Linked DNA regions of Drosophila melanogaster. The protein of the gene in region 1 interacts with the protein of each later gene in a pairwise test. Each region holds a gene or a part of one and is shown in the gene's direction. Other genes may lie near its edges. The genes, in order: CG11672, Spn77Ba, Bem46 and mRNA-cap.

The links.
Region 2: the proteins of CG11672 (region 1) and Spn77Ba interact in a two-hybrid assay, tested with the Drosophila melanogaster proteins (one large-scale study listed by BioGRID).
Region 3: the proteins of CG11672 (region 1) and Bem46 interact in a two-hybrid assay, tested with the Drosophila melanogaster proteins (one large-scale study listed by BioGRID).
Region 4: the proteins of CG11672 (region 1) and mRNA-cap interact in a two-hybrid assay, tested with the Drosophila melanogaster proteins (one large-scale study listed by BioGRID).

The regions. Positions count from the first base shown.
Region 1 is NT_033777.3:8,288,188-8,293,284, reverse strand, and holds CG11672 (uncharacterized protein), read left to right. Parts: upstream 1-2,706; 5' UTR 2,707-2,736; coding exon 2,737-2,787; intron 2,788-2,849; coding exon 2,850-3,521; 3' UTR 3,522-3,890; downstream 3,891-5,097. Other genes in the region: CG31463 (uncharacterized protein), read right to left, coding at 1-919; CG31464 (uncharacterized protein), read right to left, coding at 1,281-1,931, 1,986-2,033; nazo, read right to left, coding at 4,767-4,987, 5,045-5,097.
Region 2 is NT_037436.4:20,314,333-20,321,129, forward strand, and holds Spn77Ba (serpin 77Ba), read left to right. Parts: upstream 1-2,857; 5' UTR 2,858-3,440; coding exon 3,441-3,456; intron 3,457-4,051; coding exon 4,052-4,481; intron 4,482-4,538; coding exon 4,539-4,809; intron 4,810-4,865; coding exon 4,866-5,234; intron 5,235-5,292; coding exon 5,293-5,559; 3' UTR 5,560-5,784; downstream 5,785-6,797. Other genes in the region: alphaSnap (alpha soluble NSF attachment protein), read left to right, coding at 276-591, 651-971, 1,066-1,215; Spn77Bb (serpin 77Bb), read left to right, coding at 6,709-6,797.
Region 3 is NT_033779.5:2,984,843-2,990,575, forward strand, and holds Bem46 (Bem46), read left to right. Parts: upstream 1-3,273; 5' UTR 3,274-3,402; coding exon 3,403-3,541; intron 3,542-3,594; coding exon 3,595-3,836; intron 3,837-3,897; coding exon 3,898-4,239; intron 4,240-4,316; coding exon 4,317-4,495; intron 4,496-4,554; coding exon 4,555-4,669; 3' UTR 4,670-5,224; downstream 5,225-5,733. Other genes in the region: Chd1 (Chromodomain-helicase-DNA-binding protein 1), read right to left, coding at 1-335, 398-571, 634-743, 799-1,308, 2,545-2,604; okr (okra), read right to left, coding at 5,225-5,537, 5,594-5,733.
Region 4 is NC_004354.4:14,238,630-14,244,940, reverse strand, and holds mRNA-cap (mRNA-capping-enzyme), read left to right. Parts: upstream 1-2,118; 5' UTR 2,119-2,359; coding exon 2,360-2,563; intron 2,564-2,627; coding exon 2,628-3,560; intron 3,561-3,622; coding exon 3,623-3,761; intron 3,762-3,815; coding exon 3,816-4,089; intron 4,090-4,156; coding exon 4,157-4,353; intron 4,354-4,420; coding exon 4,421-4,623; 3' UTR 4,624-4,675; downstream 4,676-6,311. Other genes in the region: CG32599 (uncharacterized protein), read right to left, coding at 906-1,112; Dus2 (dihydrouridine synthase 2), read right to left, coding at 5,018-5,268, 5,336-6,298.

The DNA.
Region 1 (5,097 bases):
CACACTCCGCAGAGTGGATGGCCTCCTCCGGCAACTGGTTGTTGATTTTGCCGTAGACATCGATTCCGACAGCGATGATGTCGTGTAGCCGGCGGATCGCACTGAGAGCGTTTACTGTACCCGACAGGATTTTGCCAACGGTGGTCTGCTTGGCGGCAATCTTCTTGCAAATCTTCACAAGACTACTGACATTGCGTTTAACCTCCTTCACAGCGGCCACTGTTTCATTCTGAATGCGCATTACCAAGGCCATGGTGCGGGAGTAGCAATCAACGCCATCGTTAATGGCCTGCAGACCTATCTGGAACTCTGGGACCAGCGAGTAACTGCAATAGGCGGCCTGACTTCCGCGGCCCCAGTAGTTCCACATGTATCCCAATCCGGCAATGGCTGCGGTCACGATCTTTGGTTTGTTCAGCTTCAGCAGATTCGTCTCCAGTTGGATGGCCCTCTCCACCAAGTCGTCAATGCCGAACTGTGCCTCGTCAATAACATCCTGAATAATCTCCCTGAGATCCTCGAATTCCGCCCTCTGATTTGGTGTGAAGTCGGGACTGGGCTTTCCCATGATCTCGTCGACAGTGGGCAATTTTGTGTCATACACCACTCGAGGTTTCTCATCCAAGTAAATGGAGAACTTTTCGCGAAAGTCTTCAAATGCCCGTAGGTAGTTGCTATCCAGTTCAGGCTCCTCCGCGGGATTCTGATCACTCCCATCGCCGCTCTGGAGCCTCAGGCTGTACAGATAGTTGTACTGCGCCTGAAACTCTAGGTACAGTGGACGCAAAGCAGCCACTTCCTCGCCAGACAACTGCAAGTCCACCTGTTGCTTCTGCAGCAGAGTCTCCAGTTCCTGGTTGGCTTCACCAAAAGCGAAGAGCAGCACACAGCCCAGCAGAAGCAATGCTTTTCCAATCATTTTGCCCGGGCAACTGTTTCAGTACAACTGAGGGAGGGATTTTGACCAGCTTCATTATCGGAAGAAGTATGGCTCGTAAAACACTATCGAAGATACCACACTTGGTTTTTCTTAAGTGGCGCAGGTTGATTAGGCTTATCCGGCTTATCGCCAATATTACGCTATATATAAACCACCACGGGGCAATGTTTTTCGAGAGAAAATTTAAATTTCTATTTGGCTTTTTATGAATGGTCGAACTGATAACGATTAAAGATAACTATGCTCATAAATATTAGGTAAAAGTTGATGTAAGTAATTAATATTTTCAAGTCGACACCAGACCACAGTTAATAGTGCATTTGACTTTATTACATTCTTTCTAGTTTATCGCACACGACTCAATCTGCGTAAAGAGGTCATCGAAATCCATCTTCAGATGATGGTAGAAGAGGCAACTTGGTGTGTCCAGGTCTTCCAAGGACATCTCCAGCACAATTGCATCGCACAGCTCCAGACTGCTGATCATCCGCTGATTGATCCTCCCGATTCCAGCGACAGTGCATAATAAAACTCCGGCGTGATTGAAACCAGACTGCTTAAGCTGCCAGATTCTGCAGGTGTTTGACAACTCACTGATCTCCCGCGAAGCCTTACTCAGAAAATTAGCCTCCAGCACGATTTCCTCCTGAAAATGATCCATGATGTGGTCCAGAGAATTCCTGCAGATACTGTACTTGTCCACCAGCTCTCGATTGAAGTGTGCCACCTGGAGTTCGTACTTCTTTGAGCATGCCCGCCACTCATCGCTGTACTGGCTTCCAAAAAACATCTCCAAGCGTCCACTAACCACTTGCTGATGGTCATCCAGTGTGTCCTTGGCTTCTTGAAGATACTCCAACTTCTGATCGAGGGCCTGTTGGGTGACGTTCCAGATCCTGGCTGCACTGGAGCTTTGGCTGGCTATAAGCTGCTTTGTGGACTCATAGAGTGGTCCATTTTGTCCCCAAATTCTTTGAAAGTGGCCATGCACCTGTAAGATCTTTTCTTTAATATTATACTTTACACAAATAATGCTATTTCATACACAAAGAAGCGACTGAAGTAAAAGCAGTGACACCCGTACTGTTGTCATCTTGAAACTAAATCGAATTGATTCCCGAAAAATTGAAGATACCATACCTTTTATTTATAGATCGCCAAAGGTTGCCTTAATTAACTAAGACTAAGAATTAAATTCTTTTTTGGGAAAGAGTTTTAACGCTTTAACAAAAATTGTTATTGTTTATAAAGAAAATATTGGGATACCGAAAAATTTAACAGCGTAAGTTGCTAAAAATACCCATGTCATATGTGATCAATATGAAACTTTAGGGTATTTAAGTTCCGAACAAAACTTAAATTAAGTTCTGAATTAGACAAATGGCTCATTTGTGTCTTATAATGTTTATAAGAAAGATTCTTATCGCATGATGACTGTGTAACGACTATATGCTTCAAGTTAGTCATCAACCTCAGCTTTCTTTAGCAAACTTGAACTGTAAATATCTCCCCTTTTACAAATAAAAGTATAATTGATCCCTCCATTATTCAACGAAGGTGAGAAATTTACAAAAAGAAATTACGAAAATTTACGAAAAATACGATGACCAAATAGAATACTTTGAATAGTATACCAAGTTCATGTACTAAAACATCATCTCAGTTCATCAAGTTAATGCTCAAATTGTGTTTCGTAGTGATTGCTATGAGACACACTCTTATCGTGACACTGGATCTCTTGACATATATAAGAAGTCAAGTGTAGGGCCAGTCGCACTAGGAAATATAACAGAAAGATGATGAGTCAAACTCTGGGAGTACTTGCTCTGCTTTTGCTGACTTTGGCAGTGAGTTAATAGTAACTTTCCATTTATAGTACTTTTCAAATTCATATGCTCCTTTATTTCAGGACTGCCAAGAAGTCGGCTATGAAACAAAGATGGAGACAGAGACTACAAACTATGGACCTGTTACCATGGTTGTGGACAATCTGGCAGAGATTGCCGTAAGTGTCAGCGACGACACCTCCATTCAGTTGGAGGAGAAAATAAATCGCACTCGGCAAAATATTGCCGGTAACATTGAGGTCCTGACCGCCAATGCTATGGCCGAACTAAGTGATGTGATCTATGAGACAAACCAGTTAGTGGTGTCCAATCCCGATTGCAACCCAGCCTGGAGCCTGGATGAGCTCAATGAAAATGTGACCCATCAGCTGGGTGGGTGTACGGAAGACTTGGGAAGCCTTTTGGAAGACTTCCGTCTGGAGAGTCAACTGGCTTTGGCCAGAGTACAGGAATTCGTACAGCAGATTGCCCACTTGCCGGCCAAGTGCCAATTGCTGGGGGCTTCCCCGCTTAATCCTCTAGCTTCAGCTGGCGGAAGTGTCTGTTTCATTAACGCGATGGCGGAAATCAATCTGGGGATGGCCCAATCCATGCACAATGCATCCCTAATCCTGGTGCAGACCCACCAGACCGCCGAGGATCAAGTGGTGCAGGCTCAGCTGTGCAGTGCCATGGTGGTGCAGCACATCGGCGACTATCTGCGCGAGGAGCAGGATCAGTGCCGGCAATCATAGTGGACCGACCCTTCCCGTAAGCAATAGTCCTAAGAGAGAACCCAGGCAAAAACAGCCAATGGCAAATTTATGCACCCGCAAGATGACAGGGGCCGAGGACTCGCCACATCCTGTTCACTTATTGCTTATGCATGACATTTATTTGACAAGTTTTTGATTGATTTTACAGCTGCTGCAGTCGATCTGGTACAGCTATCAGCATATTTGCAGGCACAGTGAAGCCTTTTTAAAGTCTGGCTTGGAATTGAAATAAAATCAATTTCAAATCACTATGTTCTTATAAAACGCTAAGAGGCGTGTGTTAAACCAAGGAATTTACACATTTTAAAATGATCAATAAATAGTGAAGTAAATTACTACTTAGTATCAAGATCTCATTTCAGTTTGATTCGACTTAGAGAGGTTGCTCTGTAATTGCATATATATACATATGTACATATGTATATTGGGCAACTTTGTGGCTAATCGCAAGTTCACTTTTCAAAGTCGCATGCATACTAATTGGCCATTGTTCGGCTAAACTGACCAATTGCCCAATGGACTTGCCCACGACACGTGGCAGCCACACGATATAAGATATAGTAGCATACGGATCCGATCCAAATGGGCGACAGCTGGCCCTAGAAAGAGATAGAGACGGAGATCGAGATCGAGATCAGCCAGTTTTTTTCCTCTTCCTCTCGCTTCCGCAGTAAGCAAAATTATTTTGACCTGCCTACCGCACACTGAGCGAATATCCGAAGCGAGTATCTGTGCATCCGTGAGATACACCAAAGCATCGCATCACACATCTCTCTCGTCGTTCACAGTGCAGCAACGAAATTTCTACGACTCTTTATTTCGGCTCTTGCCGCAATTTCACTAAGAGTCTCTGAATTTTATCTTATTTTTACTGCTTGTAACAGTTGTTGCCCTGCTGATGATCGCCTTGGTAGTGTAGCTGCACAAATTCCGCCTACTCCAACATCTGTTCAGCTCCTCCAGACATCTGACGGATTTTGATGACGTAGATCGCGCGACTCTTGTCTATTGAAAGCCGAGCTCTGAGCAAAACAATCTTTTTACATCTGGCACATCGAAAAGGCTAGTCACTGACTATTAAATTATAAGCTGAAATGGTTTTTACTATAGATTTTAAAATAAAATCATTCAGTGCGCCAACAATTTATTTATGTTGCAGGCAAAATTCTGTGTTATAGCATTAATCATCGAGAAATATAGTTTAAAAAATATTTCTATTAATGCCTAATCAACGATGGTCATTCCCATACGATCAGTGATATAGGACTTGACTGCTTCGAGTGCAACCTCTTGCACATGCCGGTTATTTAGTATTAGTCTTGCGACATCTCGAACGCGTACATTTCTAACTTCGGATATGGCCCTGATCACGTGCTGCTCCAGTTCTCGACGCTGACTCTCCGTCAAATCGTTCAAAATGACCTCACTTAGAGATTTGAAATTTCCTGGAATTAAAAGACTGATAAGAATGATAGTCACCATGTAACGCTAGACACTCTTGCCCTCCGTAAGTCCGTAGGCGGTGAGACCACCGATGGCCCCGCCCAGTGCCAGT
Region 2 (6,797 bases), on another chromosome or scaffold:
GAACTGTAATTCGTACTTGGAAACTTCCTCAGTTCGCTGAAAAACTTAGTTGTTTTTAAAAATCTACATTTTTAAGGTATTTTACAAAAAATTGTATATTTGCACAGCATCCAGAAACAAATCCAAGTTTAAACAATAGGCTTTTCAAAACCACCTTCGTATATGCATATATAAATGATAATATAAAAATATTATCATTAGTAAAAAGTTAATGCTCTTTTCTGATCCCTTGGATTACATTAAGGCTTATTACTTATCGATATCTACTATTCCAGAGGGTCCAACAAGGTGGAGGACGCCATCGAGTGCTACCAGCGGGCGGGCAACATGTTTAAGATGTCCAAAAACTGGACAAAGGCTGGGGAGTGCTTCTGCGAGGCGGCAACTCTACACGCGCGGGCTGGAAGTCGTCACGATGCCGGAACCTGCTACGTAGACGCTTCCAACTGCTACAAGAAGGTGGACGTGGAGAGCGCCGTCAACTGCCTGATGAAGTCCATCGACATCTACACGGATATGGGCCGCTTTACGATGGCTGCCAAACATCACCAAAGCATCGCCGAGATGTACGAAAGTGATCCCAATAATCTGGTGGGTTCCCGTGTGCGCCTCCATGCTAATTACATATTAATGGACCATTTCCCTTTCAGGCCAAGTCTATTCAGCACTATGAGCAGGCGGCTGATTACTTCAAGGGTGAAGAGTCGGTCAGTTCGGCCAACAAGTGCATGTTGAAGGTGGCCCAGTACGCCGCCCAACTGGAGGATTACGAGAAAGCAATATCCATATACGAGCAGGTGGCCGCCTCCTCGCTGGAGAGCTCTCTGCTCAAGTACAGTGCCAAGGAGTACTTCTTCAGGGCCGCTCTATGCCATCTCAGCGTGGACCTCCTGAACGCCCAGCATGCCATCGAAAAGTATGCGCAGCAGTACCCAGCATTCCAGGACTCCAGGGAGTTCAAGCTCATCAAGGTGGGTATCAGTTTGCTTAAGTTTTATCTTTGGTGTGTGTGTGTCGTCTTTGGTTTTCGCAGATATTTACTTTAAGACGCTTTTCGAATTACAGGTGTTGTGCGAGAATCTAGAGGAACAGAACATCGAGGGATTCACAGAGGCCGTCAAGGACTACGACAGCATCTCCCGGTTGGATCAGTGGTACACCACCATCTTGCTGCGGATCAAGAAGGCTGCGGACGAGGATCCCGATCTGCGATAAACGAAATCAATTAAATTTTCGGATAAAATCGCGTACACATTTATTAAATGCTTTATTCGGTTCGGATATTAATCTACCTATACATATATAACTAAAAGAAAATTATTAAACGTGTTGCATTGCTTAACCTGAAAGCACCCAAACGACGGCCAGCTTGTACGCGTGAATTAAACCTATGGAATAGTCTATATTCCCGTATTCTAGAGTTTAATTTAACGTTTATGCAACGAATGAAGAAGGCAGCAGATGCCGAGGCTCAAATTGCGCTACCACGTGCTATTCAAAAGAAAAACTTTATTATTTCCAATGTGGAGTGATTAGAGGTGTTACTTATGTTTGTCTGTTTTTGCGTTACTCTTGTTATTTGTGTAAGTAGCCAATCAATCAGTGGGTTAGCTGATGTTCCATTTGGATGCGTAAAGTACCCTATAGAAATCTGTATCCACTACTATAATAAATTGAGAACTTCATTCTATGTGTGTAATGTGTTAGATAATTTTGAGATTAACTAAAGAGTCCCTGGTAGCGAAAATGAATTTCAAACCAATTATAATTCCATTTAGTGCACTGAAATAAAATTAAACCTAAAGTTTAGATTGTACGCATATACACAACCTACAAATAAAATATATGTCCACATAAACATTACCGATTACCCCGATAAATATCCAAAAAGTACACGGAATTCTAATAAATACTTGAGGGTCACATTTATAGAAAATTCCATCTCGCAAAATTTTAACGATGTTTAGTAGATCAACATGTACGAGCGAATTATAATCCAATAAATAATATTACGACGGAGCGACGAAGATTACGCGGTCGTCGAGGCCGAAGCAAGAATAAATAAATCAATTATTGAATTTATTGAATGAAGATCTCCAGGAAACACACAACACCACTGAAACCTGACCCAACACATTTAATTATTAATACTGCAAAGATCCTGGTAATGCCTCTATGCAAGCGTTACCACGGATATTTCCAATTCAAATACTTTAATAAAGTTAACGCTTGGATTAATCCTGTCATCCTCTCTTCGTATCCATCGATGTTTCCTAAAATGGTGCCTAGCATATATTCCAGTCCATCCATAAGCATTGTCTTTCTAGTATATCATTAGTTTGCACCTGTCACTTGGGAAAAAAAAATGTTTTTTACCTTGAAGTTTGTTGTTTATTGCACTTGTAAACTTACTGGTATTGAAAACATTCATTTGTATGATTATAAAACACAGTTGAGAGCTACCTGCATATGTCTTCTACAGCTCATATTTGATGTCATCTTAACCATCCATCCACGAGCTTACAATATTGCATATACATTTGAATACATGTAGTTACCTTTTAAAATATCTTGGATTCAGGCACAGTTGATGTAGATGTGATCTAAAGGTGAGTTACTGGAGTTAACCCGGCATTTCAACCAGTTTCACCATCGGATTAGCTGCAACTCATAGTAGTGATTCCACCTGATTTCCATTTCGCGAATGAGGCTTCATTGTCAAGAGCGGCAGACAAAGGTCTGCCAATATCAATACCGCGTTCTCTCGCTGCGGCTCTCGCATCTGAATCCGAGTCTGAACTGATTTGGACCCGGCTGTGGGACGATGGCGGTGGCGGTGGGATGGGATGACCATATCAGTACGGTGCTGAATGGTCGATGGAGCAGTCTCTCAGTCACTCAGTCACTCAGCTGATGCTCGTGCGTTAGGTTGACATTGTTTGTGGGGAGTTGTGTGGACGTGGGTTCGATCTGGCATCAAAATCTTGGCAAAACCGAAAACCACCAGTAGCTGGGTTCACAAATTGAAATAAATATATAGAATTATATAAGCGGCAACCGCATACGCGAACACCCCACCCACCTGTACGTATGGTCTCCTTGCGAGCGTGTATTTGTATACATAATATATGTGGAATTCCCCTCAGTGCATTCCGGTTTTCGAATAACACCGACCGACAACAGTGTATAGAGACATATAGATGAACGTCGCTTTGTCAACATCGAAAAACCCCAAAATACATCAATAAAAGGTTTAAAAGCCTCTCAATAATTGATGCACACCCACATGGTTAAGCAAAAGTGTGATTCATTTGTGTGCGCAATTATTATAAAAATTTTAAAAGCCCTGCCTGAAGGCCCAATTATAAATAATATTAAAAGCCCGGCCTGAAGGCCTGATAAGCGAGGCTTGAGCCAATTCTTGATCGCAGCCACAAAAAATGGGTAAAATCGCAGGTAAGCTTCGTGGTCAATTAATTATGGAATATTTCCCAGAGGCGGGGATGTTGTTTTAGAGGCAATCAATAAAGAGATTTAAAATTTACAAGTACTCGTGTGTGCACAGCAAACACATATTATGTACATACATATATACATTTTGTATTACGTACAAACACATGAGGTCGTCAATGGATCATCGCTATCAATTGGAAAATGCTTATTTTTACGCATCTGGGAATACTATATGTACATAGTACTCACGCGAGTGCCTTTGAATTTCATTCGATTTGATTAGACCGGAAATAGCTATGCCGGATTTTCAGGCAGTTTTTCAAAATCGAGTTGTTGGTTTAACTCATACGGAGTTCAAGGACAATTGGCTAACTGCATATGTATATGGTTTAAACTTACATTCTGAAATGAATAATAAAATTATATTCCGATGGAAAACAGTTACCGTAAAATGATTATTTAACTCGAAATTTATAAAATTATCCATCTTTAACGCATTTTAAAATGATGTTGGTGTAAAATAATACAATAATTTTAGTGCGGCTTTTAACATCATGATCCTTAATGAAATGACGTTCTAATGCACATCTTAATCCAGATTGCCTGATGCTATGGATTCCACTACTCCTGGGAGCCATCTTCCTGTGCTCGGCGGATCCTCAGAACAACCAAGCGCCCCTCCAGCTTTCAGTGGGCAATCCCCTTACCGCATTCACAGCTCCCACGGCTTTCCAAAGTGGCGTCAGCCATATCCAGTCCATGAGAAGCAACTTCGACACGGATGTCCTGGTCAGCATTTCGCAGGGGGTCCAGGACTTCGCCCTCGATCTCCTGCAGCGCATATCCGTTGAAGTGGAGAAGGCCAACAAGGATTTCATGATATCGCCCTTTTCCGTCTGGTCACTCCTGGTGCTTCTCTACGAGGGATCCGAGGGAGAGACCCGCAACCAGTTGAAAAAAAGCCTGCGGATCAATGTCGAGGACGAAAAGCTTCGGGGCGCCTACAAGGTTTGGAGCTCATTTCTGAAGTGAGTTTATAGGATTGCATATTTATGGATCGCGGTGACCCCCTTCCCTCTTCTAAGCATCACCACTTCCACCATCGAAGTAGCCACCCTGCAGGCCATATACACCGGCAAGGGGTATCCCATCAAGAACAACTACCGCGATGCTATTCAAAACTACAATGTCCAGCCGATGGAAGTGGACTTCTATAGCCCGGATTCGGTGATCCAGATCAACGAGGACACAAATCGCACGACCCGCGGTCTGATTCCTTATACCATTCTGCCACAGGATGTATATGGAGCGAAGATGTTTCTGCTCTCGTCTCTGTACTTCAAGGGCCAATGGAAGGTGGGAAGTGAACTTGTCCACTTGCAAATCCTTCGATATATCGTTTTCGCTTGCAGTTTCCCTTCAACAAAACGCTGACAAGAGAGGAACCCTTTTTCAGCGAGAGCGGCGAAGTCATTGGAAAGATTCCCATGATGGTGCAGGAAGCGAACTTCGCCTACGTCTCAAACGTAGAGGGTTTGGATGGCTATGTGCTGGAGCTGCCCTACGGCACCCAGGATCGTCTGGCGATGATCGTGGTGCTGCCCAAGCGCGGATTCAAGCTAAACGACGTAGCCAATAATCTGAAGGCCTTGGGATTGAGGCCCATCCTCCAGCGACTGGCGGCATTCAGGAACAGGGCCTCCGAGGACAACGAAGTGGAGGTCATGATGCCCAAGTTTGTGACTGCCACAGATTTCACTCTTAAGGGAGTCCTCATCCAGGTGACAGAACTTCTAAATCCAATCTGGAAATACATTTGTAAATAACTTCTAATTCTAGATGGGCATTCGCGATCTGTTCGACGAGAATACAGCCAACCTGGACCGAATGTCTTCCGGCTTGTTTGCCAAGCTGGTCGTCCACTCAACCAAGATCATTGTGGACGAACAGGGAACCACGGCGGGAGCCGTCACGGAGGCAGCGCTGGCCAACAAGGCCACACCGCCCAAGTTCCTGCTCAACCGGCCCTTCCAGTACATGATCGTAGAGAAGGCAACCGGACTTCTCCTCTTCGCCGGACAAGTGCGGAATCCCAAGGCGGCCTAAAAGTCCACCGACTCACACTTTACTCACATACCACAATAAATACGTTACGTTAAGACAAAAGGGGGAATTTTATTACGGATCCTTGCAACTCCCTCATGTACCACTTCTGTACTACTGTGGCAGCCCAAAAGATTCCTCTAACGTCACGGCCAGGAACTAAAATCTGTCAGGATACGTCAAGTAAGCAGCACAATGGGGAAGTCTCACTGTACCGCTATATTTTCGTCACATGTAAAAGTTGTTAACGTATTCTTATTAAAGAATATAAATAATATTAATTTACGCGACGATCTTGGTATTACTGATGCCAAGCTTTCTACATCAGCGCCCTCTTGCGGCTTTGAAAATCTTTGAAAATATCGAATAAAACGCGTAGTACAGCTGAAAAACTGCTGTAATGAACACTGTAAAATTAGCAGCTGCAAATTAGTTGAATGGTCTGAACAACTTCGGGCACTTTTGGTGTTCCTTCGCCATGTCACTGGATATTATGGATAAGGAAACTAAAAAAATCCAAAAAAATCGTTCTCTTTCAGAAATTTTGCCAGATTTGACCGACTTGTGGTCGATAGAGTGGGAGAAGAGTAGAGCTGGAGTCCGTATTCCCAAAATTAAAATATCTGTTTGATTCAATTCCTTGTCGATTAGCAATGTCTTTTATTTCGAGCTAAAACGTTAATAGCGTGACCTGGCCACTACTATTCTCCAGATCGCAAAATACGGAAGGTATACGAAGGAGTAAAGCAATACGAAGATAAGGAAACATAAGCTGCAGCTATTAAACGTGCTTGTGCCGCCAGAAGGACCGTTTTTTGGAAGTTTTTACTAACAAAACTCTTTACTGAAACATTTTTTTACTTTACTTTTTTTACTTTATTTTACATACTCATGACAAAATCTACGAGTAACTGATATAAAAAATGCAAGGCACGTGCAAAAAAACGGGAACATAAAAATAAAGTATACATGGCTTGGAATATTGAACTCCACAAATTAACGAAAGTAAATCATATAAATATAGTTTTTTGTAAATAAAAAAACAGTTTTGAGTAGTCTTCGGGTGCACAAAGAGGTAAGAAAAGTAAATGATATTTTTGCTTCAGCTGAAATATTTCTTATCGGTCTAGCCAAGTAAATTTTGTTGACAATATGAAGCTCGGATTTCTGGGGCTTTTTGGCATGGTGCTCATGATCATGTTCTACGAGGGAGCAGAAGGGTATACCGTCAATGAGCTGCG
Region 3 (5,733 bases), on another chromosome or scaffold:
TGTGGATGTACGACCAGCCCTTCCACTTGATCAGGAACTGTGCCTCGGTCTCCGCGTCTGGAGTTTGCTTTTCATCAAATCCAGCATGTGGATCAAAGCCGTTTTCCTCTATTGCATAGATCGTTGTCTGATTGCCCGTGCATCCCCTCTTCCCAGCACGCTGCGCCAGGATACGCTCTATGGTTTCGCACTTTTCCTCCTCCTCAGCCGTAGCGGCAGTGGTGGCTGCCTGGCTTTCATCGTACTCAAACTCCAGCAGATCCTCGGAGTCGGTGGCTTCGTCCTCCGAAGCCTCCTTGTAGCTAACGGCAGCACCCTTGCGACGAGTAGCGCAGCTTTATAAAAAAGATGGACATGGGTCAGGGAAAGGCAAAAAGCAAAGGGCTGGGGTCATTACCGTTTGCTAGCGTCGTCATCATCACTGTCCTCGGAACTAAAGGGTTTCACCCTGCGCCGCTGCTGTTGCTGTGCGAGTTTGCTGCGAGAGGTAGTTGCTGCCGGTTTGCGCTTTTGGGCGGTGGACACCTCGTCATCACTGTCCTCGCTTTCATCGCTTTCATCCGAGTCCCAGCTGGCAAATGAAACGAATGCTTTGTAGAAAATAATTTGGAAAGGGGATGCTGGAAATCTCACGTTTTCTTCTTGTTCTTGGGTGCTGGAGCTTTTTTCGACTTCTCAGCAGCAGTCGGTGGTTTGCGCGCCTGGCGCGTCCGCTTGGGTCTATAGTCCTCCTCTTCCTCCTCCTGCGTGGAGAATGGTTAGGAACTTTTTAAGATGAAACCGCCGGTCCAAACTTACACTGCTGCTGCTGGAGGATGTGGGTGACACATTGGCAGAACTATCACTTGATTCATCGGCAGAGGCATCGCTGGCTGGCTGCTGCTGACCAGCCTCAGTCTCATTGTCCTCCTCCTCATTCTGCTCCGGCTTAGGCAAACTGCTGCTTGTGTTGGCATTGTTGATGCTCTGGTTCCTTTGATCCGATGGGCCCTCGGCGTCTGAATCGGAATCACTGCCACTAGACCCGTCACTGGAGCTGTCCTCCTGGTCATCCGTGAACCCGTTCGTCTTACTGTCCGCCTGGGCAGCAGCGGCTGTCGGTGGAAACCCTGCCACCGATAACGATTTGTCCTCGGGTTCTGGGGAGCTCCGTCCATCGCTAGAGTTGCCCGAGGAGCTGTCTGAATCTGAGTCTGAGCCGGAGGAGCCACTACCGCTGCCACTGCCACTATGGTCGGTGCCATTGGCCTCTTCCCGAGTGTCATCTTGTTCGTCTGAGCCAATACTATTCGCCGATTCATTGAGTGCCTGGTCAGATGAAAAGTAATTTCAAAATCAATCTAGGTTGAAGATCAATCAATCTTAGTTAAAGATAAACCGTCGGATACGAAAAGGTTGAAGTAACACACCGGCTCTGGGCCAGCCAATCCTGGCCAGAAATTGTGAGTACAGAGTGCATCGAAATTGGCATAACATGTTTAATATTCCCCTTATTCAGCTCCTTAGAAGTAAGGAATGGGTTACACAATCACTGAACTATAGGCAACGACTTAAAGTGACATTTTAAAACAAGAAGATGGCTCAATCCTGTCCAGAGTGAGGTCGCACTTTAGATTCCACAAAAGCCTGGTAAAACCACGGAAAACTTCGAAAACTTGGCTCTTGGGCCGTGCTGAACAGATTATAAAACAAAACGGCGTGAAGAAACTTTCATAAAACGCACTCTCATGGCTTACACAGGACTAATCCTCTCCAGAAATTTGTTTATGGCAGTTTTTGGCCAAAAAGGGTAAAACAAAATGTATTGCGTTTTGTAGTTCCAGGAAGCACACGACAGAAGCACATGACTACTTTGAAGAGAACGCGGTAATCACACGACACTTCTTCCTGGTGATTAGAAACCCGGATATCCTTAGAAACAAGCGGGAAATCGATGTTCTGGGCGGGATCTTTCCCTGAAAAAGGCACAAAACTGTGGAAATAGGAATGGCAAAGCGGAAAAAATTATTTTTAATCATTGTATCTGTCGAAAAGAGGAGGAATTTAAGGAAAATTATTGCTGGTAGCCTTTTGGCGGGCTCGAAAATCCCTGGAATTTGGTCAGAAGTACAAGAGAGGAAACTTTGCACCTAGCCATTTCTGATTACGTAATCGGTGAAAATTTTCCATTTTATCGAAAAAGGAAGGAAATCCATGGAAATTACAGGATTTTAACAGCCGCTATTGATAAAAACAAACAGAAATTCTTGAATTTGAGTAGAATTTGCGAAAATGGGTACCCAATGGATTTCCACAAAATCCACCTTGGCTGCCACGTTGAAGCCTTGGGAACTGTCAGGCACTGTCGGAAGGATGAAACACTCTCGGAATAGTGGAGAAATAAATCCTTTTATCCAAATGCTCCGCCAGCAGCCGCACGGCCAGTCATCAAAGTGTAGGTGTCTCGCGACGAGGGGACTTCTACAGACTTCGTTGCTGAGCAGCCACGCCCACAAAACTGAGCGATTGCCTTGTGTGTAGCATTTGATTTACGTTTTTACTCACACGACAGCCTGGATCAAACTGTTTTGACTTGTCTGGTTTCAAATGATATAAGAAATTCATAGTTTTTCCGATTTTTCCACACACACCGATGTTTGACAACCACAGCTTTTTCAAGGCCTACTCACCTGGCTCATTATATTGTCGTGGTAGCACACACAGTTGCCTTGTAGCGCTCATTAAATACAGGGGGCTCACTTGCATGCGGTCGCTGGCGAATGTTTATGTTTTTCCCGCTGCCCACTTGTTTTGAAATGCACTTTTTCGAAACAAAATGATCGTTTTTCACGTTTTACTCATGCGACGCAGCAGAAATCTTTCCACCATCTTGAATTAGTGGGACCGTGCGTGCTGCAGTAGAGATGGCACACCGCGCGACAGTGATGATGCGGGATATATCGCTTGCATAATAATATAAAACATGTACAACATTTATATAAATATAAAATAAAGTAAATAGAGTCATGAATTGAATTTATATTGATATTATATATTCCTTTTCATAGGCATAAAATTATTAAATGTAGCGTTTCAAGTTATCCAGAATATGTCAAAAAGAAATAAACTACTTAATTACTTGACTGATTTTATTTTATGAGTTGAATGTTGAGTTGAACGATATTTAATAATTTTAGTAGTAGTAGTTCATTATAGCCACATGATCACAACCTTATCGGGGTCGCTGATCGTCAGTAGTTACTGTACTGCGTTATCGATAACTTTTCGCACTGCACAGGTGTCTTGGAAATCAGCTGTGGGCGGTGTACAATTACAAATCGTTTGTGTTGCTGGCGCTGGAATTGATGCAATTTAATTAAATTAGAGCGTTGGACATGTAGCGCAGCTGGACCACAGGCGAACATGAAAGAAGTGGGCATCGCTCTGCCCAAGTCCCGCGGCGTGGGCGTGGGAGTACTCGCTGCCTTCCTGTTGTGCTTCATTTTCTACTATTTCTACGGCGGTTACATGACGTTGGCACTCTTCGCTGGGATCATCCTGCGTACGTATTCTGCTTCAGACCAGTCATTCGTCACTAAGTGCCTGCCCTTGCAGTGATATTCTACTATGCCCAGGACCTGCTTCTCTACCATCCGGACTTGCCAGCCAACTCCCGCATTTACATACCCATTCCGACAATGCACAACCTGCCGCACATTACGGTCAGCATCAAGACACCCGACGATGTCACTCTGCACGCCTTCTGGGTTACCCAACCGGAGGAGCGCTCCAAGTCGTCGCCCACGCTGCTCTACTTCCACGGCAACGCTGGCAACATGGGACACCGCATGCAAAACGTAAGGGGAGCGCCAATTCTGATAACGACATTACTTTACAATTCTCTGACACGCTTCTCAGGTGTGGGGCATCTACCACCATCTGCACTGCAATGTTCTGATGGTGGAATACCGCGGATATGGCCTATCCACCGGTGTACCCACCGAGCGGGGTCTGGTCACCGACGCCAGAGCGGCCATTGACTACCTGCACACCCGCCACGACCTGGACCACTCGCAACTGATACTTTTCGGACGCTCCCTGGGCGGAGCTGTGGTGGTCGACGTTGCAGCCGATACCGTATATGGACAGAAGCTAATGTGCGCTATTGTGGAGAACACTTTTAGCAGCATACCGGAAATGGCCGTGGAGCTGGTGCATCCCGCTGTGAAGTATATACCAAATCTATTATTTAAGAATAAGGTGGGTAGTCGTCGCCGGTTGAGCCCTCTGTTTACTTTATCTCATTACCACATTATTGTTTGTTGTTTCACATGCAGTATCACTCCATGAGCAAGATAGGCAAGTGTTCGGTTCCCTTTTTGTTTATTTCGGGCCTTGCGGACAACTTAGTGCCACCGCGCATGATGCGTGCCTTGTATACCAAATGCGGCAGCGAGATAAAGCGCCTGCTCGAATTCCCCGGCGGATCGCACAACGACACTTGGATAGTGGACGGGTATGGCCGGCAATTAATCTTCACTTTCCCATTTATCCATGGGTGTGCTTGCTTTTTAGGTACTATCAGGCCATCGGTGGGTTTTTGGCCGAGCTGCAGCAACAGCCGCTCCTCAAGGCGCCGGAGAAGAGCAACGTCTGGGTGGAGCTGGAGCATAAAATTATTGATGTATAGACCCGAATACATCAAGTGTTCAATTGACTGTGTTAACACTGCGAATGGTTTAATACTTATACATATACACACGCATAATATTAATCTGTATCTGACAGGGTTTTAATCCGGACGTTGCTATACGCCAAATTGCTTTTTATGTGCAGAGAATAACGTGCTAGCGGAGATGGCTGTTGATTTTAAGTAACCAACTTAAATAACTTTGCGCTTAAGCAAGTGAATACACACTAGAATCCGAATTTCGATGTTTGCTTGTATTTGTCCTAAGCTATGTTAACCTACTACTTTGCCCGATTGGCGGCCAGTTAAGAGTATAGAAATTGATCAGTATTTCACAAAAAAGTAAACTATTTTCTGGACTGACTCCTACATTGCCAGATTAGTTTATAGAAGCCTTCACCCCTAGCACGTTAACATTTTGTGCTGGTTCCATTTTTGAAATGTTAAATTAATAACTTGTTAGGATTGCAAAGGAAGCCAGAAAAAGTTATCTTAAGTTTAGACTTAAGTGCGAAGAAAAAGGAAATTCGAGAAACAATAAACTGCAAACAATTGCTAGAATCCACGGAAGTCCTCATCGGCACTGTCATCACTGGCGGGCGTGGATGATCGTTTGCGGCTTTCTGGTTTTTCCTCTGGCTGATCTGTTGCTTCCTCCTCAGCACTCGGCACAATTTCCTGAGCCTGCGATCGGTGGTGGAAGACAAAGGACACGCACTTGCAATCCATCCAGGCCTGGGCGAGAATATTGTCAGGCAGGCCTCTGTTGTTGGAGCAATGGTACCATTGTGACAAATGCGAGGTGCAGTCCGTGTCCTCGGGCGGTGGCTTCATTTGTATATTTTGAACGCAGCGCTTACACTTGAGCCTGAAAAGATATGTTACACGATCATGATCTAAAGGGTATCCAAAGCCAGTTCTTACTTGTCGTGTGTGTCGGACAGAATGTTCGCATCAAATGTAAACAAGTCCTTCAGATCGTCGCGGGTGAAATGCTTCTCGGCCGACTCGTTGTTGTCAATGATGGTGCTCGACAGGGATTTTTTGTGCGTCTGTCGCTGCAG
Region 4 (6,311 bases), on another chromosome or scaffold:
GGATTTTGAAAATAAGATTTCAAAAATGCTTAAATCAACTTGGATGCCAATTAATTTGTTTTTAATTGCACAAAAGTTTCCGAAAGGGAAACTCAATACCGATTTGATTATCTTACACTTCATAAAATGGCGTGATTTACACAAAAACGCTTGGGCATTTTTTTTTTTTTTGTGTATATCTGGGACTTTTGTTGATTTCGCTTCGTTATTTGTTGATCGCAAAATGCGTGCCTGATTTTATACAATTTGTATTAAATAGGTTTGGAAATTTTCAAAAAATAATGCGTATGCATGTCAAACTCAAATCAATTAATTTGGAAACACGCTTCTTCCAGTGTCATTTTCTGCACTTGCTGTACATTTTCCAGTTAACTATTAAATGGCAAATGCATTCTTAACATCCACTGTATGTGCAAAAAGATCTAAGGCGAAAACTAAACGAACATTTCGGATTTTATGATCGGACACACATTCTATTCCAGTGATTCCCATCGATAATGATGGCGCCACAAACGATGGCGTCGTACAAACTTTGAGAGACGTCTGCAAATCTCGGAAAAGCTGAGGAAAATCTGAAAGTCACAGTGATCCATTCGTAAATGACGTGCACGTAAATCAAGGTGTTTCCAATGAATCACAACACGGTGAAAAAAAAAAAAAAAAACGAGAGCACTCATGGAATGTCCATATGGTTATTGTTCAAGTTTTGTTTAGTTTTAAGCGATTCAGTAATATATGTAGATGAATGAAAAAGATCACAGTCATTCGATTTTTAATTGAGTACTGAAAAGTTAATTATTAAGTTCAGGTTTCTAAACTTGCGAATTTGGCATATTTAAGATATTGTATCTTCATTTCGCTTCTTAAGATACTTTTCAAAAGCACCGCCTCAAATTCAAACTTACGCGCGACTTGAGGTCGAGGATCTCGTTGAGATTCTCCTGAATGATCTCCTCCTCCGACATGGACGTAATGCTCTTCCGGGCCACCAGGGAGGTGAGGGCATCCGGCGACTTGGGCACCGCCGGATTGGAGCACACTGTGCCCGTTCCACGCGGCATGGCGGCCGGAAATTTTGGCACCGGCTGGCGATTTGAGGCGGTCGCGGACATGGGCGTGGCTCTGCGACGGAATAAGTGGCTTACGTACTAGTTCGGTTTGAACGGACCGCAAAAAAACAATCGAGTTTCGGAACGGAGTGTATTCAAATTTTCGCAAAAATTTCACAATTTGTATGAAGTGAAGATCGCGTCCGGGCGGCGATCAAAAATCGAGTGAGAGGCGAAATTGTGTGGTTACGAGCCCAAACCTCCTCGTTCCTCTTTTTTTTCGCGACTTCGTTCGATTTCTGCGGGCGATTTGTTGTTATTTGTTGTTTATTTACATTGCAGTAAATAATTGTACGGCTGGCTGTGTGTGCCCCAAGTTCATATCGAAACTGATGCGTATATATATATATATAGGTATGTGCGTATGTGTGTATGCACACATCGACCGAAATATGCAGCAATTAAATTGTTTATTTTTATGCAAAAGATTCGCAGCTATTTTGAAAAACGATTATCGATACAAATGAGCGGCAGAAGGTAGGGGAAAAACATGTTTTTTTAATTCTGTTCTGTATATTTAAAAAAATTTTAATTTTTTTATTTAATTAATTTTAATTACACTAAAATTTATTATATATATTATTAAATACTTTTGTAAATACTTTCTCGTAATTTCCCCGTGAGAACAACTTTTTGACGAATTCCCCCAACAATATTTTCAAACAATCGATGCTATCGATGTAACGGACGCATCGATAATTTGGCTGGACAGTTCGATGATATATCATTTTTAATAAAATCATTAAAATGATAAAAGATATAAAGATTTAACTAGATTTGCTACAAACATTGCAGGTCGCGCTGTTGTCGATTATTCCAGAATAATAACTTCTGGCTGTGCTCATTTTATTTCCGTTTTATTATTAACGTCTTTCTTATTTGAATTCACTTGCATATTAGTGTGACCAATAAGAAATATGAAAAATATATTTAGCAAAAAACGCGATATCTTATATATATATATATCATTTATTTTTATAAAAAGGGAAACAAATAAGATATCGATATTTTTACATATATATTCCACATCTCTAGACAAATCCTACACAGAATTCCCAGGCCCGCGAGTTCTCGCTGCATCTGCATCCACCACAATCTGCACCAGCAATAAACCACCTAACACAAACGCAACGGCGTCGTCCCATCGCTGCGCCCGCCGTTTCCATCGTCGTCAGCAGTAGCAGCAGCAGCAGCAGCAGCAGCAGCAGGAGGAGGAGGAGGAGCAGGAGAGGCGGAGCCACTGTGGCACTATGGCCCTAACTAATCGGGATCGGGAACGGGGCTCTGGTCCATTGCCCAATCGCTGGCTATACTGTCCGCGCAAGAGCGATACCATCATTGCGGAACGCTTCCTGGCCTTTAAGACCCCGCTGAGCAATAACTTTCACGACAAGATGCCCATCGAGTGCACCTTTCAACCCGAGATGCTCTTCGAATACTGCAAAACGCTAAAGGTGAATGCAAACGCAACATCCCCCAATTTCCAACTCACTTATCCAATCCATCTTATGGTTTCAGGTGAAACTGGGCCTCTGGGTTGACCTGACCAATACGAAACGATTCTACGATCGATCCGCAGTGGAGGAGCTCGGCGCGAAATATATTAAGCTGCAGTGCCGTGGACATGGCGAGACGCCATCGCCGGAGCAGACGCACAGTTTCATCGAGATCGTGGACAACTTTATTAACGAACGTCCATTTGACGTTATAGCCGTGCACTGCACGCACGGTTTCAATCGCACTGGCTTCCTGATTGTCTGCTATTTGGTCGAGCGACTCGATTGCTCCGTTTCGGCAGCGCTCGCTATCTTTGCCAGCGCCCGGCCGCCGGGCATCTACAAGCAGGATTACATCAACGAGCTGTACAAACGCTACGAGGACACGAATGCCGCTCCAGCGGCACCAGAACAGCCCAATTGGTGCCTGGACTATGATGATGGCAACGGCGATGGTTTTGTGCAGGACAACTCCTCATCCACGTCACAGCAGGCCGGCGAGCAGGATGACGACGCCGAGGAGGTGGAGGGAGAGGATGCGGGCGGCGACTGTGACGCCTCCACGTCGGACGGTCAGCCGCGTAAGAAGCGACGGCGCGAAATGATCATCAAGAATGCCACCTTTATGGCGGGAGTGCCGGGCGTGCGACAGGTGAGCGATCAGCCGCGACTGGGCGATCTGCAGCGTAAGGTGCAGGACTGGTGCGACTGGAAGAAGAACGGCTTCCCTGGCGCACAGCCCGTCTCCATGGACAGGGAGAACATAAAGCGGCTAAGCGAGATACCGTATCGTGTGTCGTGGAAGGCGGACGGTACACGTTATATGATGCTCATCGATGGAAGGGACGAGGTATATTTCTTCGATCGCAATCACTCCTGTTTCCAGGTGGAGAATGTGACATTTGTGGAGAGCAGGAACCTAAACGAGCATCTCGACGGCACTCTCGTCGACGGGGTATGTGATTCTAGCTGGCACTCCTGATTGCAACTAAATTATCGTTCTATTTGTCCGTTTAGGAGATGGTGCTGGACAAGATCGGCGAGACCGTAACGCCGCGCTACCTCATCTACGACATTGTGCGATTATCGAATCGCGATGTGCGGGACGAGCCATTCTATCCAAATCGACTGGACTACATTAAGACGGAAGTTATAGGTGAGTAATTATTCGATGTTCGTTTATGAAGGACACATCCATATATCGCTGCAGGTCCCCGAATCCTGGGCATGAAGCATGGCATCATCAATCAGCGGCTGCAGGCGTTCAGTGTGCGCGGCAAGGACTTCTGGGACATTTGGATGTCTGCCCGGCTGCTGGGTGAGAAATTCTCGCGGACACTGGCACACGAACCGGATGGCCTCATCTTCCAGCCATCAAAGCAGCCCTACACGGCTGGCACATGCTCCGATGTCTTCAAATGGAAGCCACATGAGCTCAACTCGGTGGACTTTCGGCTGAAGATCATAACAGAGCGCGGCGAGGGGTGAGTTGTAGTGATCTATCCGTTCAACGGGCTCAATTCATACCATGCCATTCTCCGCCTCTGGCAGCTTGCTGACGAAAAAGGTGGGCTTCCTCTATGTCGGCGGACACGATGCACCCTATGGACGGATGCAAAGGTTAACGAAGGAGACCAGAGAATTGGACAACAGAATCGTTGAGTGCACCATGAATCAGTTTGGCAACTGGGACTTTATGCGCGAGCGAACGGACAAAAAGAATCCCAACAGTTATAATACAGCCCGCTGTGAGTAGTAATCTTCACCAGCAGTAGGAGGATCCCTATACTCATTCTCAACTCATCTTAATTTCAGCCGTTGTGGACAGCATAAAGCATCCAGTCACCAAGGAGTACCTACTAAACTTTATCGCAAGCTCTGGCTATCGGAATGATCATGTCATGATGCCGCCGCCGATCAATTCCCATAACCAAAACCACAACCATAACCACTTTTATCCCCATGGTCATGGCCAACACCAGCGTCGTCCCTGCGTGAACCCGACATTAGGAAATTAATCAGAGCGTAATAAAAAAAGAAAGAATAAAATTAATCGTGAGTTATGTACCGAAAAACTGTGTGAACTTGGGTTTTCTTGGATTAGCTGAACTACGAATTACTTAGTACTAGGAGCACTCCAACCAGCTGTACTCCTTATAAACTTAAAACAGCTCATATAATTTATTTATCTAAATACATACATATATTTAAAGCACTGCACACTTGCAGTTTTGTTTATTCAGATGCAAACTTTGTTAACCCAATGGAGGTAGTCCAGATACTGCTCCCAGCACCTAAGGCAGTTGCAACAGCCATTGCAATAATCAAAAAAAAAAAAAACAACTAAATAATGGTGTCCAAAACATAGCCAAAATGGATGACATTTACATAAAACAGGAGGAACTTTGCTGCTCAGTTGAGCAGGCTGCCATTGTCGCGCAGAACCTCCGCCTCCAGCTGGCCAAGATGGAGCAGGGCCACCAGAGCGGCGCCCTGCTCTGCCTGCTTCTTGTTCTTCTCCCAGAAGGAGCTACTAAAGCGCTGGCCATCGTACGTGCAGATGGAGCGAAACAATTTGTCACACTGCTGCGTTTCGTACGCTGGCGGGGATTTGCCAGTTTTGACAGCATGCACATATAGTTGCGTTTTCGGCAGATGATTATCTGTGGCATGAAAAATACCGAATGGGGATGATGGCTATCATGGCAAGAGATTGATCGAAACACTTACCACTGGGATAGGTGGAGCGCAGGAATGGCATGTGTCGGCAAATGATGCCGTCGTACTCGTCCGTTATGGCAATGGCCGCATCCTCCAGCTTCTGTCGCTTGGCCAGCGCCTCCGGTGGCTCCACCTCCGCCCGTCCCGAGTTGCCCATCGTCTTTAGCTCCCGCTGCTTGCGGCGGCAATAGTCGCCCAGCTCCCAGATCTCGCAGATCTGCTGCAGCGTCTGGCACTGAAGGAAACGCTTGCCACGCGGCGTCTCCTGCAGCTCCCTGAGTATGCTCTGCACACAGTACTTGGCGTTATGCGGCGCATTGTCGTAGTCGACGCACAGGCGCAGATACTTCTCGATTAGCTCGTCCATGGGCAGCAGGCCCTCCGGCCTGAAGATGCTAACATTGATCTGTGCCGCACGTGCGACCATCACGCTATCGGCGCCGCATTCCATTTGAAATTTGCGCAGATCATCGTAGCAGTGCATGTTTTTCGAACCACCGTTGGCGATAATCGGTATGTCAACCGCCTGGGCAACGGCACGCAGTACCTCGGGATGGGCAGGATGCTGCGGACGCTCGTCGCGCGTCCTCGCATGAATGCCAATGGCAGCGATGCCCGTGGCGGCCAGTTTCTGCACCAGATCGATTGTACCCTCCACGTCCGGCAGTATGCGTATTTTGCAGGTGACTGGAATGTCCAAGCCGGAGCACAGAGTGCGCAATATGTGTGCCGCCTTGTCGGGATCAGCGAGCAGGGCGGCGCCCATGCCGCCCTTGATGGAGAATTCCTTGGGACAGCCCATGTTTATGTCCAGACCGGAAATGTCGCGCTGCAGCAGCTTGCCCACGGCCAGAGCCCGTCCAGCGTCGCTGGTGCCCATTTGTAGTACCAGCCGTGAGGTTTCCTGGGCGCAGGTGCGGAACACAATCGTGCCATCCGACGGATCCACAAAGTCCACCGTGCCCAGAGCGGCTAAAAGGTATAA